Astyanax mexicanus: one gene and its partner. The protein of the gene in region 2 interacts with the protein of the main gene of each other region in a pairwise test. Links are inferred from orthologs where the notes say so. Each region holds a gene or a part of one and is shown on either strand. Other genes may lie near its edges. The genes, in order: sephs1 and zbtb25.

What was found.
Region 1: the proteins of zbtb25 (region 2) and sephs1 interact in binary tests that used the Homo sapiens proteins (3 or more experiments, as listed by UniProt). The two-hybrid records come from large-scale screens. The link is inferred for Astyanax mexicanus from reciprocal best matches to the Homo sapiens genes ZBTB25 and SEPHS1.

What each region holds. Positions count from the first base shown.
Region 1 is NC_064416.1:15,379,332-15,388,587, forward strand, and holds the start of sephs1 (selenide, water dikinase 1), read right to left. Parts: upstream 3,683-9,256; 5' UTR 3,433-3,682; intron 2,029-3,432; exon of another isoform or gene 1,893-2,028; intron 847-1,892; 5' UTR 810-846; coding exon 617-809; intron 393-616; coding exon 289-392; intron 1-288. Other genes in the region: bend7 (BEN domain-containing protein 7), read right to left, coding at 6,049-6,098, 6,216-6,269, 7,204-7,260, 7,376-7,489, 8,564-8,789. UniProt on the Homo sapiens protein: Synthesizes selenophosphate from selenide and ATP.
Region 2 is NC_064408.1:77,708,624-77,717,196, forward strand, and holds the start of zbtb25 (zinc finger and BTB domain-containing protein 25), read right to left. Parts: upstream 3,626-8,573; 5' UTR 3,105-3,625; intron 1,754-3,104; 5' UTR 1,728-1,753; coding exon 1,555-1,727; intron 403-1,554; coding exon 1-402. Other genes in the region: zbtb1 (zinc finger and BTB domain-containing protein 1), read left to right, coding at 7,563-8,573. UniProt on the Homo sapiens protein: May be involved in transcriptional regulation.

The DNA of each region.
Region 1 (9,256 bases), on a different chromosome or scaffold from region 2:
AAACAAATGTCAGTTAAATCAGGCTTATAACGAGTTTATAGGGCAGGCCGGGTTGTGCTCGGACAGAATGCGCACAGGCTTGATTTGAATTGGACTGGAGTTTTTGGGCCCAATCAAAGCTCCAGTGTAGTTATGGAATGAGGTTCATGAACATTTACTTAAATGGCACAGGACCACTACAGAGAAGATACTATTCTTTATTATTAGTGTGTTATGAAAGCATTATATTGATTTGTTCTATTGTACTGAACTGGATTTTGATTAGTTATACACATAAGTGATATTTACCATCATGTATGGGTCATCTACTATAGGGTAGATGTAATCTGTGGTTTGTACTAGTGAAAGCCCCCCGTGTCTCAAAGGAATAACACAGGTGTCCATTCCAATGCCTGTAATAGACACAAACACGCATATACACATACTTTAAATCAGAAGTTATCATTTAAAAATAAAGGTAGCAGCATGTTTTAAAAAGCCTGTTTAAATTAAATAAATAATACTGCTGAGTATATTTCAGCCATTTAGCTTCAAGACACACTACAAATAAGAGTGACAGCAGAATGCGACTATTCTATTAAGACTGAAAAAATACTGAAAAAAATATTTTACAAACCTAGTCTGGGCATAACTGCCCCGAGGAACTGCTCATCCTCCTGATAATGGTTCTCCTGCAAAGCCTCGAGAAGTTTCTGAAGGACATCCTGAGCAACTTTACAGCCAGTGCCTTTCAGTTCTGTGAAGCGTGTTAGCCTGAAGTTCTTATCCAGATCGTAACTCTCCGGGTTAAAAGCCTCCCGCACTGACATGGTTTAGATTTTACTGGAGCCCACACCAGTCAACACACTGAGGGATAGATTAAAATTTTATATTAGCTGCATCTTTACAATAAAATAAGTTCATATTAAAACACACACACACACAGAAAAGCCTGCAGATTAAATTAATAGGCACAGTGGCAATACTGTCAAGACAAAACTTTTGCCTTAATTTTTGTTCTTTTTTATTTATTTATTTATTTTACATTTAAACAAAATTTTAAATGTTATGTTTTACTGAGTGATTAACATTAACATAACAAAATTAATTTATTGTATTTTTTTTTCTTTAGCGAATAGTCCGCAGACCCCTTCAACCTTACATATAGCTTTTATATTAAACACGTTGCAAAAGCAACTTCCTTGTATTTCAGTTAAGAAACAGCATAAAACATGGAAATAACTGCCACATAAAAATACTTTTTTACTCTACTGAGATCTGACATACTCTCTAGAAGCTTTAATATGTACAGATTTCCACTATTCCATTTTAAAAATAGTGCACAACCCCATTGAACTTCACATGCAGCTTTTTTATTAAACATGGTGCAAACGTAACCCTGTATTTCAGTTAAGGCAAAGTGTATAAGTGTAGATAAAAGACTATTCTATCCTATAAAAGACAAGACAATCTACTGAGAATCTCTCTGGAAGCTTCTATTAAGACCATCGTCTCATTTTGAAAATCGCATTAAAACATAAACCTCCCAGCCCTAATATTTATATATAGTGATATATTTGTACAGTAGTGCTGCATTGTTTAATTACGCTAGATTCCACTCTTTATAAAGTCCTTTTACTTTGTCTAAAATACTTTTTACTTTTCCTGTATTTATATGTGTGTGCACTTAAAAACACACCCATACTAAAATCAGTGCCCAACTAAACTCCTCCATTCACCGAGCTGTTTATAGAGGAGTTTCCAGCACATCCTCCCCTTTAAAAACAGCGCACTAAGAGCGCGCGCACAACCACATCAGCTCAGCCACTGATCAGCAGCAGCGGCGGCTATAGGCCCGAGATTCCTACAGAGCAGCAGCTGCTGCAGCAGAAACAGCTCTAAAAGTTACTAACGGGGTTTATACGCGTCTTTAAAACCCGCTGCTGCTCATCTGCAGGTCTGATCCAGCGCAGCAGTGAAATACGGGGAGGCTAGATGTAGTAAAGTGGGCGGTGTTGCTCTGTTAGCTGCTGCAGCTGTTTGTAGCTCTGCTGCTCTCGCACCACCAGCTAATGCTACCAAAGAGCCTCTACAGAGAGGAGACTGCCCACTTCAGCACCTACCCCGGGCTTCTTTCACCACCAGAGGGGGTCCAAAATAAATGGGTTCATATGAAGCAATTGAGCAAAAGCAGAGTTTATAAATGTTTTATTTTATATACTGAAAATGTTCTCATTTTCTCAACACAGAATATTTATTTTTTAAAGCTTTTAAACTCAACCCGTCAGTTTAATGCAGACTTCTACTTCACTACACACCAAAAAAACAGGTATAATATAAGTAGTTTTTTGTACACTTTTCATAATTGTACCCTCAAAGGTATAATATTGATCTCTTAAGATGGTCAAGTACAAAGTGGGAAATGATGCAGCTTTCAGACCTTTTGTTATTTCAGCTCAGAAATCAATATTTGGTGTAATAACCCTGGTTTTTAAAAACTTTTTTTTTAAAAGTTGTCAATCATCTGTCTGACACACCTTGTTTTTAGATAACTTTATGCCACTCTGGTGCAAAAAATAAAGCAGCTCTTGATTATATTCCAGAAGTTTTTATTTTGGTAAAAATTAAAGAAACTTTTAGGTGAAATTAATTCAGTCTTTACTACGTCCTTTGCTGCTGCACTCTGCACATGTTAAGTTTACAGGTGTGTACACTGTGTAAAGTTGTCAGTTATCGTGCACTTGTGAGCTACTGTAACCAAACAAACTAAAAATCTGTACTATGCGTAATTGTAGCAGGTCCGCCTTCTTTGCTATTTTAGCACAAACTTTAGTTCTACCTTCTAATAATAAAGATATATTATAGACAATCAATTAATTACTATTTTTAATGTGCGTTTTAGCTTTTTAGCTCCATTCACACCCATTAATTTAGGTCTCACTTGCGGGCTCCCTCTAGCGGTTCGCAGTCATATAGACACAGTCTGATATAATGGGGGAACTAGCTAACCTAGCTCAGAAGTGGGCAGACTCTGTAAAAACAGCTTTGCTAATGCTACCCTGCAGCAAACAAACCTCCAAAATAGCCAACAAACACCTTCAATACTGCAGCTTTTCACCCCACACATACACTAAGCCGCGAATAAGCTCCATTAAACACGCGCCCGAGCTTTAGTTAGCGGGCTATTTTAGTATAGGCTGGTTTAAGCGTTTATAGTAAAATGTCGGCGGTGGAAAAAATTAACCCTTGCAGCGCCCAGCGCCATGAGAGGTGTGCTCCAACTAGGCATTAAAACCAGCGCTCAGACCCCGCTGCGCCCCTTTAGAGCCCACTAGACCCGCAGAAACCCGTAAACTAGGGCGTAAAGGAGCGCTCCCCGCGCTTTAAGCGCTGTGGCACACATGCATTCCCGCTACATTTCCCCTTTAATTCAGCAGCTCCGCTTCTCCTTACCGGTTTCGCTTTAGCGGCGCCTCCCGATACAGAGCCGCAGCAGGCCCGCCGCCACAGCGCCTTCTCACAGCTGCCCGCGCCGACCGCCTGCCTGAAAACACCGCGCCCAGGCCCGCGGCTCTCCCTCCCGGCCTCACAACCAGCGCTACACCTCCAGCTCAGCTCCGCGCCGAGCAGCAGAAATACAGCGGTAAATTACAGTAATAAACAGCGCGGTCTGCGGGAGCGGGATCCCACACTGACCCGCGTCCAACACAAAGGGTCCTGATCAGGCGCTGTGGCGCGATTACCTCCCCTTTAAAGAGGCTCCAAGAGAGCCAGAGAGTGAGTGAATGACTGACTGAACCCAAACACTGTACCTGTACACCTGAACCAAACACTGAACCTGTACATCTGAACCCAACACTGTATGAAACACTGTACCTGTACACCTGAACCAAACACTGTACCAAACACTGATCCTGTTCATCTGAACCAAACGCCGAACTTGTACATCTGAACCAAACTCTGTACCTGTACACCTGAACCAAACACTGTACCAAACATTGTACCGGTACACCTGAACCAAACACTGTACCAAACATTGTACTGGTACATCTGAACCAAACACTGTACCAAACACTGATCCTGTTCATCTTAACCAAACACTGTACCTGTACATATGAACCCAACACTGTACCAAACGCTGAACCTGTACATCTTAACCAAATACTGAAAAATGAAACACTGTCTCTGTGAATTTAAATCCAGCACTGAATCTGTACATATGAAACAAACACTGATAAATAAAACACTTTCTGCGTATTTGAACTCAACACTGAAAAACAAAACACTGAACCTGTACATCTGAACCCAACATTAAATCTGTACATCTGAACCAAACACTGAAAAACAAAACACTGAACCTGTACATCTGAACTCAAAACTGAACCTACACATCTGAACCCATCTAAATATTCAATTGTTAATTTTATTATTGTTTAAGCAAAAGTCATATTCACAAATGTGAATCGACTAATTCTACACTTCACACATTTATTGTGGTTGCCAACTAATGCATTAATCATCACTGCATTGTCTAAAAAGCTGTAAAAACCAGGGATGTATTAAATACTTTATTTAATGTGTTTTTGTAAATTGTGTATTCACTTAGATTTTTTCTTTTCTTCTGTATCTGTATAGTATCAATTTGGTTCCATATACTACACGGGGACAGTTTTCCAAACAGAGACTAATACTAGCCTTGGATTAGGCATAATCCCTGTCTGGGTAACCAACACACAATGTATATGTTCTAATTATTAAAAAAGACAGTCAATGTGAAGTAGATGCCAACAAACCATTATTATGATTTCATATTTTGTGGACTAAGTGGATTTGCAAATTAATAAGAACAGACGAGTTTTGTCAGCTGATTTTGTTTTTAGTTTTTAAGCAGAAACCCTAAATACCATGTATTTGTGTTCTGTTATAAGTGCCCTTGGAACAATAATATAGTATATGTATATGAAAATGTTCCTGCATGTGTGTTAAGGTATTTCACAATAAGGATTATTGTCTATTGTCAGATGTTTTATACAGGTACATAATTTAAAATAATTTAAAAAGTTTTTTTAATAAATAAACAGCAAAATGTGCAGATTTTGAAATATATTAAAATGTTTACATAAAAAAAAAAAAAAAAAAAAAAAATATATATATATATATATATATATATATATATATATATATATATATATATATATATATATATATATATATATATATATATTTCTGATTACTCCAGTACATATTATGGTAATGTTTTAAATGACCACTAAGACCAAATAAAGCACTGCATTTTATATACAATAATAAGACACACTTCAAACAGTTTAGGCTCTTTTTTCCTTTCTTACAGGTTTTAAACAATCGACATAGACAATCTGTGCATACAGTACAATAATCAGTCAAGCATTAAAAGCCAGTGAGGTAAAAATCCATGTGACTGAGACGAGGGACTTAATTCACTCAGTTGTGCACATTACACATACATATCCTCTTATACTGGGAGAGATTTAGCACATATCATAATCAGCTTATATGGTCACAGTACTGGTACATTGATTACTATGCGAGGAGAATAACATTAGGTACTGCTGATGTGGAAAATGGCACTATATATACATTTTACAATATACAGTGCTTTTGGAGAGGTATGGCAGAATGAGTTAAAGGCACACAATCATATTTTCTCAACATCAGAGCTTCACTTTGTCTCATGAAGCACTTGGAAGAGGTTAAGGAAGTACACACACACATTACTTCATATATTTAACTATAAAACAACAACAATCCAAGTCATTCACACACATTTTAAACCACCATACATAACAGGAAGCATCTGAAACAAAACAGAAAAACAGTTTTTAACAGTGTATTTAGAGCAGTCACAGAGTTAGGGAGGTTTCTGTTGTGAGATGAGCAAGCTCATTTAGTCCTTATCACCAGTTTCTACCATCTGAATTGTCCAGCCCTTTCATGAAGACAATCAAAAATACCTCAGACTTTAGACTGATTCACGCTGCCGTCCAGACTGATTCAGGACTTCTTCTGAAGCAAATGGAGGGGAGACTTTTAAGCATGTTTGTTTGCAGATTGATGCCCTCCTAGTGCATAATCTGCACCTATTATAGAAAAGAGGGAAATATACTGTATGTTAACACAACATTGCTCTTACACTGGATATATGGATACAAAATATATATATATATATATATATATATACATTAGATGTTCATTACCATTTAAACTCATCTGAGACTTCAGCCCATTCTCAGCAGTGAGTTGTGATTCACCTGGCATAAAAGAGATTATATAGGATATAAAGAGATAAATACATGAACATGCACTAGGAATAAAATATAAGAAACTGTAATAGCTAGATGGCACTGTTTCTCTGAAATACTCCCTTTAGTATCAACACAAAACTCTATCTCCACCCGCTCTCTGTATATACAGTGGCGTAAAAAGGCTTTTCCTCCTTCCAGAATTATTTTATTTTTGCATTTATGTCATACTTACATTGTTCTGGTTATTAAACAAACTTTGATATCAGACAAATATAAGTTGAGTAATATAAAAAGCACTTTGAAATGATATTAAAAAGTCTGAGAAAAAACTATTTAAACCAATCTAGCTCTTTGTAAAAAAGTGTTTGCTCCCCCCCCCAAAAAAATGTGATTATTAATTTAATTACCTGTAGAATTAAAAAAATACTTAAATAGAACCTGTCTGACAACATAAAGCAGTCATTCCACGATCTAAAGACATTCAAAAACAGATGAAAAAATGAATTGACATCTATCAGTCTGGAAAATGTTACAATGTCATTTCTAAGGCTTTGGGTATCTGGATGACCACAGTGAGAGCTAGTATTCACAAATGGAGAAGACATGGAACACTGGTAAACCTTCCCAGAAGTGGCTGGCCAACCAAAACTATTCCAAAAGGGCATGGACAACTCATCCAGGAGGTCACAAAAACCCCAGAAAAACATTTAAAGATCTGCGGGTCTGCCTCTGCGATATTCATAATTACCATTTGGACATGTAGTGCATTTGTCTACATTTAAATTCTTCATTTTTAAATAATATTTAAGTCTTTGTCATTTCAATTATTTTCATTCTAATTTATTATTATTATACAAATGCACCATTTTCATACTGTCCTAACCATCTTAGTGTTTATATTGACAAATTACGAGGATGGACAAGTAATGTGCTTCTATACCTGTTTTATCTGTAGGTGTCCTGTTGAGGGTCTCGTCACAGTCTGTATTTGTCTCTGCTGTACAACCATATACACACACAACCACACACGCGATTATGTAATAAACGATCACCAATCACATAGCTTTGTAGTACAGTATGTGGTCTGTAAACAAAAAAGGGTATACACCAACCTCTTTTTAAGCGCCGGCGAGCCAGTTTGATCTGGTCTTGAAGGATCTGGACCCAGTCTCGTGGACCAGGAAGCTTCTCAATTCTGTTAGCAGTGCAGTACTTTTCTGTGAACACTGCACTCAGACACAAACAGTCATAAAAATGTGTAAAACCATTAAATAAAATAAAACTTTCTCAAGATTAGGGTTATACAGCTCTGGAAAAAAAAGAGACCACTTAAAAATGACCAAAAATGACCAAATTGAAAATTGGAATATAATCAAGAGAAAGACGAATGACCACAAGCCATCAAACTAAGCTGAACTGCTTGAATTTTTTGCACCAGGAGTGGCATAAAGCTATCCAAAAAGCAGTGTGTAAGACTGGTGGAGGAGAACATGCCAAGATTAATGAAAACCAGGGTTATTTCAACAAATATTGATTTCTGAACTCTTAAAACGTTATGAATATGAACTTGTTTTCTTTGCATTATTTGAGGTCTGAAAGCTCTGCATCTTTTTTGTTATTTCAGCCATTTTTTTCATTTTCTGCAAATAAATGCTCTTAATGACAATATTTTTATTTGTAATTTGGGAGAAATGTCTGTAGTTTATAGAATAAAACAACAATGTTCATTTTACTCAAATATATACCTATAAATAGCTAAATCAGAGAAACTGATTCAGAAACTGAAGTGGTCTATTATTTTTTTCCAAAACTGTAGGTGTTTTATTGTATACTGGCACAGGCTGGTAAGTACTTTTTATGCAAATTTTACGCAAACATGACTTGAGTTAAGCAGTGTTACACAGTACTGGTGAGAGGCCCAATGCAGAATCACCAAAGATACATAGTGCAGCTAATACAATTATGATGCTGCTATTTTACGGTAAAATATTATACTGCTTAAATTACAACTTTCTAATATAATTGTCCATTGTCCAAAACATGTAATTAGGTGGTTTGTAAACAGAAGCTTCATGGCCTTCATGGTTTGCAAGAATCCTAAAACAGGTTATATTTGGGTCTTCATTCACTGATGTAAGGCTTATAGAACATACCAATTTGTAAAATTCTAAATTATGTTTCCATGAGTGGAAAATTCTTTATTTTATTTAAAAATGTTTATACGGTTTGTGGTACTGTATATTTTCAGAATTTATACCATTACAACAAACTCTTAGCTTGGTTTATTGCTGTCCACTCACCTTTGATGGCTCCCACTATGTTTTGGTCTAGTCCTTTTCTATGGTCATTCAGACCCCTCTTCCTCTTTCCATTGGGCAGTGAGTTAGCTAGCGTAGCATCATCGAAGAAGGCACACACCAGCTTCCTGAAGAGCAGACTGCCTGAGCGAGTGTAGTTCAGCAGGATGGAGTCCAACTGTGCCTTAGGGATGAACACTTCATAATCCTCCGCCAACTGCACCTCCGGCTGAGAGAGACAGACGGCTGAGATATTAATAAACATTATTGATACTCAATCTAATGTTCTTTACATAAGCAGCATACACACCATAACCCAAAGCACTTACACTCATATACATACATCCCAATACAACTGCCACTCTAATCACATTTACCTGATTCTCACATTCAGATACATTCAAGTCCATAGAAGTATTATTACCACATGCCTCAAAATACCAGACAGTATTACTTGAGCACCAGTTGGTATTACGTGAGCACCAGATAGTATTATGTGACCACCATAAAGTATTCGGAGAACATTAGATAGCATTAAGGTAGTACCAGATAATGTTAGATTAGCACTGGATATTGTGATGTGAGTACCAGACAGTATCAGGTAAGCACCAGATAGTATTATGTGAGCACCATATAGTATTGAGGTAGTACCAAATACTATATGGTACTCACATAATAGTATACATTAGTATTAGG
Region 2 (8,573 bases):
ACCCCGCGGAGGCTTCGGGATTGGCGATCCATTGGAAGTCCTTCAAGACCCACAGCAAGAGCAGGTCGGCCTGCAAGAGCACGCTCGGCCCGAGCACTGGAGCGACCATCTTCTGGATCTCGTGAGGTGCTGGCAGCCTTCAGGCCTGACGACTCTTTAGTGGTCAGCTGGGAGGAGATCTGGATGCCGTACAGGTTGGACATGCGAATGGCATCGGAGGAAGCGTCAGGACCGCCTTCACCTGCCTTCCGGCACAGCTGGTATGCATGAAGGAACTTGATGCCATCCTGCAGCCTGCTCTGATCCACAGGCTGCTTAGGGCCCATGCCTGTGTACATGATGTGCAACAGGTAGCTGAAGACATCTGGCTGGATATCAGTGGGCTGGATCTTTATGCACTCACTGAAAATTGGGAAACAATGGAATAAGCTTAGTCAATATACATATACTGCATTCTGCATTTTTTGTTTGGGATGCACTGATTAGGGGTGGGTAATATGGCCCTAAAATAATTTCAGTATTATTTGAGTATTTTTGCGATAATTATATTCTTGGCAATATGACAAAACAATCAATTAAAAAATTATTCAAGAAAACACTACTGCAATGAAAAGAATATTAAACTATATTTGTCCATATTATTGCATACATATGATATATCACATTCCTAACTGAGATTTTTACCAGATTGTAACAGAAGTCAATAATCCAAAATCTGCCATGATACTAATAATTCACTCCATATATCCAGGATTAAGGTACAATAAATAAAACTGCACAGATATAATCTCAAGTCTCTAGTAGATTTGTAATGGGAAACATGAACAGTGTGAATTTTCCTTTTTCTACAAACAGCAAAAACTTGCACCATGATGGCCCTAAAAAATATTAGAGTATTTCTACAATTTCTACAATATTTCTACATTCTACTACAATAATTAAAAATGTTGGTGATATAATTGTGTAAAATATGACATGGCACATCCCTAGCACTGAAATTGGAAGTGTAAGCCGTTGACCGATATTACATGTACGGGTGCAATGTCGGTCACTGTCAATTAGAAACAGGGGCAAAATGCACATTAATAGGTATAGTCTAGAGGATTACAAATGTATTAAAATGAACAAAATGCAGCCAATACTGATATACTGATATAATTCCAATATCATTGTGCATCTCTATAGAATTGAATTACAGTCCGGTCTTATCTGCAAGAGGCCAGGGCTGTGTTATGTGACTTCTTATTTTATTATTTGATTTCAAACAAATAATCGTGTACATCTACTTTGTTGTAATAAGAATCTGCAAGCACTCCAGCCATCTTCTTCATCTTAAAAATGTGCTCACTCCTAAAAGTTTATAAGGGAAACCCAATCCTGGTCCTAGAGATCTACCAAATTCAATGGTCCAAGTATTAAGGGTCTTTAGAGGCCTCGCAGTTTCAGAACCAGATGTTTTTTATCAGAACTCTCCAGTAGAGTAGTAAACTCTTTATGTCCAGGACTGGATAGACCTAGCTTATACCAAAAAGAGTATTTAAGAGATGGGCTAACCTGGACTGATGGATGAAGATCATCTTAAAGTAGTTGGAGAAGGCAGCCAGCACTGCTCGATGGGCTTTGAAGTATACATTGCCAATAGCTACGGTACAATCACACAGGAAACCAAACTCTCTTTGGACATTCAGTTGCTGGAGGAGGAACAGACTGTGGGTAGACACGTCCATGATGCCCCCTCTACTAGCCCAATGCCCTAAACACAAACAAACATATGATTAGGAACCGCATTAAGAAGAAATGATGGTAAAATTAGTGTAAAAAGTGGGCTCTACAAGGTTGGCCTGGGAAATTATTTAGTTTTGAATCAACCCTGGATACAGTCAGTAACTAAACACTGACCATTAATGTTGCATTAAAATTACAATATAACTAGTCCTGGTTACTCTGGCATAGTTCAATGCAGTGTGTGAATATGTGTCGTCTGTCCTCTTAGGATGCAGGATGACAAGACAACAATTGCTTAGACAAAAGAAAATATTAACCAAATCAGAGGCGTCAGAGGCCAAAACAAACACAGACACCCGTGACGGACTTAACAGTCCAAATAGGAATGTATTGGTTGAAGCAGTACTACAAAAGCTGCCGGTACTTTAACTCAGCATGTTTCCTTAATATCTGATGATACATCCTGATAATTTTATCATTTACTAATGAAAATATAATTCTTAATGGTCCTTTAAATTAATTGTTATTGAGTTGTTACATTAAATGTATTCCATCTTATCCATGTCTTCAGTGAAGGACTAAACTCAAAGCTTTAGTAATAATGAATTATATCTTATAGGAATATAGGCTATTTTTTGTGTTGTTTAATGATTTAAGGTGGAAAAGGCTGTTTTAAAATATTTAAAAATGAGGTCATATAAGGCACACAACTTTAATCTTTAATACAATGAAATTCAAGAAGACGGGATAAAGGGCGACCTCTGTTGTTGAGAGCTGGTCCTGCTTTTTTGTGCCCATTTTTTGGGGGAGACCTAGGCCAGATGTTTACATCTGGATGGGATTGTCCCAGCGACTCTGACGTCTAACGAGGCTACACGTCTGCGCTTGGCCTCGCATGAGCGCGTATCACTGGAAAAAGCGGTGAAACGGTGCAATCCGCAACTTACAGCTCTAGTGTTGCTCTATGTAAGTGACATGCCTGGCATATGATGATCCGTGGAGCTCGCGGCCGCATCTGTTGTGTGTGGTGGTGAAGTGGTGGTAGTGCTGGTGTCAGCCTGAGTTTCTTATAAAGGCTGTTGATCTGAGACAATGACAATGAGAGGCGGCACAAAAAAACGCACTTTACCCATCTTCGAATAGCGCTGTTAACTGCTGGAAGCGGCAAACAGCAGGGGAGACGAGTCGGTGCTGTCTGTAACCGAGCTCGATCCCCCCTTTGCCTCCCACCGCCAAGACAGCATCACATTCATTTTCACACGTCTGCTCTATAAGCAGTTGTCGAAGAAACGGAGGACTCGCCTGGCATGCACCTCCACACATCAAGCATGCACGCGCTCGCAGACAGACGAAACAGGCTGAAGAAAACGCAATCTTACCGCCTACGTGCGTGAGAACCGCTCGGCTCTATTAGTATTATTATGATTATTAGCTGGCGCGTGCTGCTGCAGGGACGCGCTCGTGCTGCTTCCTATGCGTCTGACGGACAGGCTCTGCTCGGGCTCTTCTGTCACGTGACCGTACATTAGCAGATGCAGACACAACGCATGGCGAGAGGCACGCATGCAAAAAAAAAGAAAAAAATGTAGCTTCCCCTACATAGCTAGCTTTAGCTGGCATGGTGGAGAATGATAGCTAGCTAGCATATCGTTCACTCAGCAAATCTCTTTACAGGAATTGTCCGTTCCACCTTAAATAGTGCACTTACTCTAGTCATGTTTAAGGTGGAACTGACTTATTCCTCACAAGAGAACTTAGCTACAAAGTCACACAACAAAGTTAGTTATAAACCTGTAGCTACAATTTAGTGAAGTTTTATCTTTGTTATCCCTCTTTCTTTTTCTGTTGCTTCTCCATTCTATATTTATACTTGTATTATATATCTATTGCCTATATATACTGACTCTGATATACTTTTATTGACTAATATATGCTTATTTATTTATCTATTCCAACTGGACACTTCAGCATGGCCACTATATATATATATATATATATATATATATATATATATATATATATATATATATATATATATATATATATAACCAGCTAATATAAAACGTTTTTTTTAGAATTAAATATATTATCATAATAATTTATTCGCAAAGTCCCCAAAGAGTAGATTGAATTGACATTCACGTTTTTAACGTTAATGCATTGAAAAACGTTGATCTCCGACGTCAGATTTGATTTATTTGAGCACATTGATTCAACATTGATTCAAAGTTATGGTTTTGTATGTACTGTTTGTTTTAAACTTTACTCACATTATAACTATAGTATGTACTGTGGTCTAGCAGGGTGAAATAGGACATTTAAATAATAATTACTAATATTAATATTATTAGCTTTCATCTAAAATCATTGTGAGTGTTTAAAACATTAAAGTGAACGTCGATTCAATGTCAGAATTTTAACATTAACCAATGTTTATTAAGCAATGGTGAATAAAGGCTGTTTTTAAGGTTGTTTTCCATCATCAACCTTAAAAGATGCAATGCAACAAAAAATAAATAAGGTTTATTCAATGTTCTTTGCCATCAGGGTCATGTTTTGTTTACCACAAAGTGAACTGGGACTTCATCGCTGTGGCTAATGTAGCTGTAACTACCTATATTTGCCCTAATGTTTATACAGGTTCTGTTTACAATGGTACTGTCATTCCATCTGTAATCTCCCCATCACTACTGCACTACTGTCTTGTGTCTTTTGTCCCATGTATGTCTATAAATGTGACCTTGTTGTATACATTTAGTGTCTCTCATTCTTTTATATTAATGTTTTTATCTTGCTGTACTTTTTGTAGCTTTGGGAAGGAGGGTAACGTAATTCAAAGGTTCAATCCTTTGTATGTCCTGTAAGTATGCAGTAATTAACAATATAACTACTTGGCTTGACTAGACTAATCCAGGTCATAGTATCTCTGCTTATAATGTATTTTACAGCCCAGTGTATCATATAGATTTTTATATATAATTTTTATTTTTCTAGCTTCTTAGTGTACTTGTGTGTATCTGTATGTAAGCTGCCGGGACACTCTCATCAAATAACGTAAGTTTAGTAAAGTGTTATCTGATCTGATTTTATATTATCAGGCTTATATGGGTCTTATCTTATTTTGTTCTGATACAGAAGTGAAATATAGTTAGATAGCTGGTTAGGAACAGGCAGGCCGTTCCCTCTATAGACTGTATACGTATATAAGTATTAATATACAGTCTGTGGTTCACTTCTCACTTTAGCACACACAGTTCATGTACGGTTGCAGTCTCACTGGCTGCCCCTGCGTGTTAGGGCGGGCTGCGTGTCTCTCTCTCTCTCTCTCTCTCTCTCTCTCTCTCTCTCTCTCTCTCTCTCTCGTATTTGCGTGTGCGTTTGCGTGCGCAAACTCGCGCAGCGGCTGTGCGGAAGTTCTTTCATCCCTCCTGCTCCTCCTGCTGCTGCTGCTGTAGAAGCGAGGGGGCGATTAGCTCTCTCTCTCTCTCTCTCTCTCTCTCCCCGTCCTCCCAACTTTCCTCCCGCCTCTCGGGCCAAGAACGCGGCGAGAGCCCGCGGCTCCGCGTCCCAGCTCCACTCCGTCGCTCGCCTCCGGTCGACGCGCGGGTGAGTATATCGTACCGCTGGCCTTCTGCGAGTGTAAACATTAGCTTTAGCTCCGAGAGCGCGAGCTCTTCCTCCTCCCAGTACCATTACGTGCGGGGGAAAGCAGCGTGGGGGCGGCGGGCGGGCGTGCGGGAGAGACACACACGCAGGCAGCGAGCGAGCGAGCCGCAGATCAGAGCTCCAGACCCGCCGCTTCACTGATCCCGTGTACCCGCTCGACCCCGCTCATGACCCCGACTCGACCGGGCCGGTGTTTCAGACACTTTCGGACGAGCGGAGTTTTGTTTTTTAGTTTTTTTTTTCAGTGCGTGATGATTGACAGCCACGACGCCCGCATGAGTCTGGCCCGGGAACGGACCAATCAGAGCGCGGGGGCGGGACTTCCACCTCCCAGTTTCAGCACAACAAAGAGAAAGTACAGTCAGAGTGCACTCTCTGTACACTCCTGTACACTCCTGAACTCAGGGCTTAATACACACAAACACCACGCTCCTCACCAGTGACAGAGACTTAAGGAGTTATTTAGCCTGTATTTACCGAACTATACCGTAATACAGAGTGTTAAACACAGTCAGAGTAGCTCTGATCTATACAGAGAGTACAGACTTTACAGTGTGTATAATCGTTCCTGTCACACACAAAGTATGTCACATACACGAAAGTTGAATTAATGTATTTATTTAGGCACATTAATTTACAACTTACAGCAGAATGGCTCTACTAATTATTAATTAACACTAGTTAGTACATACATATTTTAACTAATGTGTAAATTCATTACTGTTTATTCATTTTATTATTATAAATAATAATACTTATTAGTAAATGTTACCCATCTTTTTTGTTGTTGTTTTGAAAGAGGCAACATGTTTAAATATAGTTTTTTTTTTTGTGAGATTCTAGATGGGCAACCCCCTAAATGGGCTGTAAGTTTAATCAGCAAATTCTGTAAAGTTTGTCAGGAGGTTGTTTTGGTTAAAAAGGAAAGGGGTAGTTAGAAATGTGTGTGAAAATAGCAAGCTTGGTGTGAGTGTGAGTCACAACGTCAGTGTTTGAGAGTTGGCAGCCCTGATTATGTATGCAAGACAACTGTACAAATTGCAACTGAGGAAATACTATGCAAACAGGAGAATGAAAAACTTTTCCTTGTTATGTAAATATGTTTATATTTCTCTTGACTTATTCTAAATTAAAGTGAAGGCCAATAGTCAAATTCACATTCTGTAAAAAGGTGAAAACATATAGCCCTCACACCACAGAATTAGTTGTACTGCAGTGCTCTAATTTAATGTAAATCTCTAATGTAAACAAGTCCATAGCTCCCTAGCTTTCCCACTGTTAATCAGAAAGAATGTACATAGACTTATAGTCCATGTCTGTTATAATAAAGATTACTATTAAATACTAGTACTACTATTGTACTAAAATACTAGAAAACAAACAGAAAAGTTGATCGACTGCTTTTTAAGACTACATAGAAAGACTACAGTTTGCATGTAATTAAGTAACAAAAGAGATAACATAAAAAAACAGATCACAGCAGATCACACTGGATGGCAGATACTGTGCTTGCCCCATCCACACACATGCTGGATTTTTTTTTTTGCCTTGAGTCCTCATGAATACTAAATTTCAAGTGACTGAAAATTTGCTTTTCACTGTTTTTGTGTGGGTAAACAAAATAGCTTATAGAAAAGATGGAATTTTTTTTCTGATTCAATGTTTTAGCTCCACATGGTATTTAGATCTACACTTGATTTTTAAGGAAAACCTTAAAAATTCTTAAGGTCAAAAAATCAAACCTTGTGAAATGTTGGTGCTTTCTGCTGAATTTTATAGTTAGAGACAGAGTAAAAAGTTATGTTGTCTAAAATGTGTGGACAGGACCTCAGTCAGAGAAATATCATATTCAATTAGATTTATGCTTTTTTAAGTTATATTTAAGTGAAGAAAGTATGATACATTGAAAGAGAATTTAAAGTAATTTAATTTGGCAATTTCTTCCTCTATCGTATTGTCTTCAATGTATGTATATGTATTTGAAAGATTATTATACATGTAAGTTATCAAGTGAGCCAATTGTAAAAGCAAAAATATGCTGTATGTTATTCCATTCACTTTTGTACAAGTAATTTTGGTGAACTTCCCTTATTACTGTATATATATATATTTAATCATGGTGGTGTGTGTTTTTTCTTCTTTTTTTCTTTCTTTACAGTCCTCCATAGGTGATGGCAAGGCCAAGCCACAGTGAGCATGTTTTGCAGCAGCTTAACAACCAACGGGAGTGGGGTTTCCTGTGTGACTGCTGCATCACCATTGGTGACATTTATTTCCGAGCCCACAAGGCTGTGCTGGCGGCCTGCAGCTCCTACTTCAGGATGATGTTCATCCGAGACCAGCAGGGGACAGCGCGCCTGGATCTCAGCAACATGCAGATCAGCGCAGAGTGCTTTGACCTCATCTTGCAGCTCATGTACCTCGGCCGTATCATGGTTGGCCAATTTGAGTTTGAGGAACTGAAGTCCTCCATGGCTTATCTGCAGATGTACTACATCCCTGATTCTCTGGAGGATCTGCGAGACATCCGAACGCCCAACCTTACTCCTTCCTCTTCTGCCTCCTCATCATCATCCAGCTCCTCGTCCTCCTCCAGTGCAGCGGGAGGCAAGATGATGTTCGGCGTACGCATGTTTGAGCAGCGGAGGTCGAGCCCCGCAGAGAGCGAGCGTGTGCCCAAGGTCGCAAGCACACCCACTCGTCCGAACATTAACATCTCAACTGTGAGGCCTGTTGAAGATGTGGTCCTCACGCTTGCTCCAACACACTCTGATAATCTCGTGGAGCAGCCTTGTGATTTGAGAAAGAGGACCTCAGGCCGCAGCTCCACCTTGAAAGAACGGCCCCGGTTCGGTCGTACTTACACATGTGACGACTGTGGCTTTGTCTTCAGTTGTGAGAAGCTGCTCATCGAGCACATTCTCACATGCACCAACCGCAAGGCTGTCCAGGCACCCGCAGCCGGCAAGGCAGCTGACAACCACTCCGGCAAGGCCGAGAGTTCAGCCTCTGAGGGATTGGAGGAACATAGAGCAGATTACAAGGGTGAAGAGGACTGGTCTGACCACAAATCAGATCCAGAAACTGTGATCAGGTCCGTTGCCACAGGAATGGACAACGATCCAGCCTTGTCCAGGAATATAACCATTAAAGTAGAGCAGGAAGAAGACTCTGACACAGAG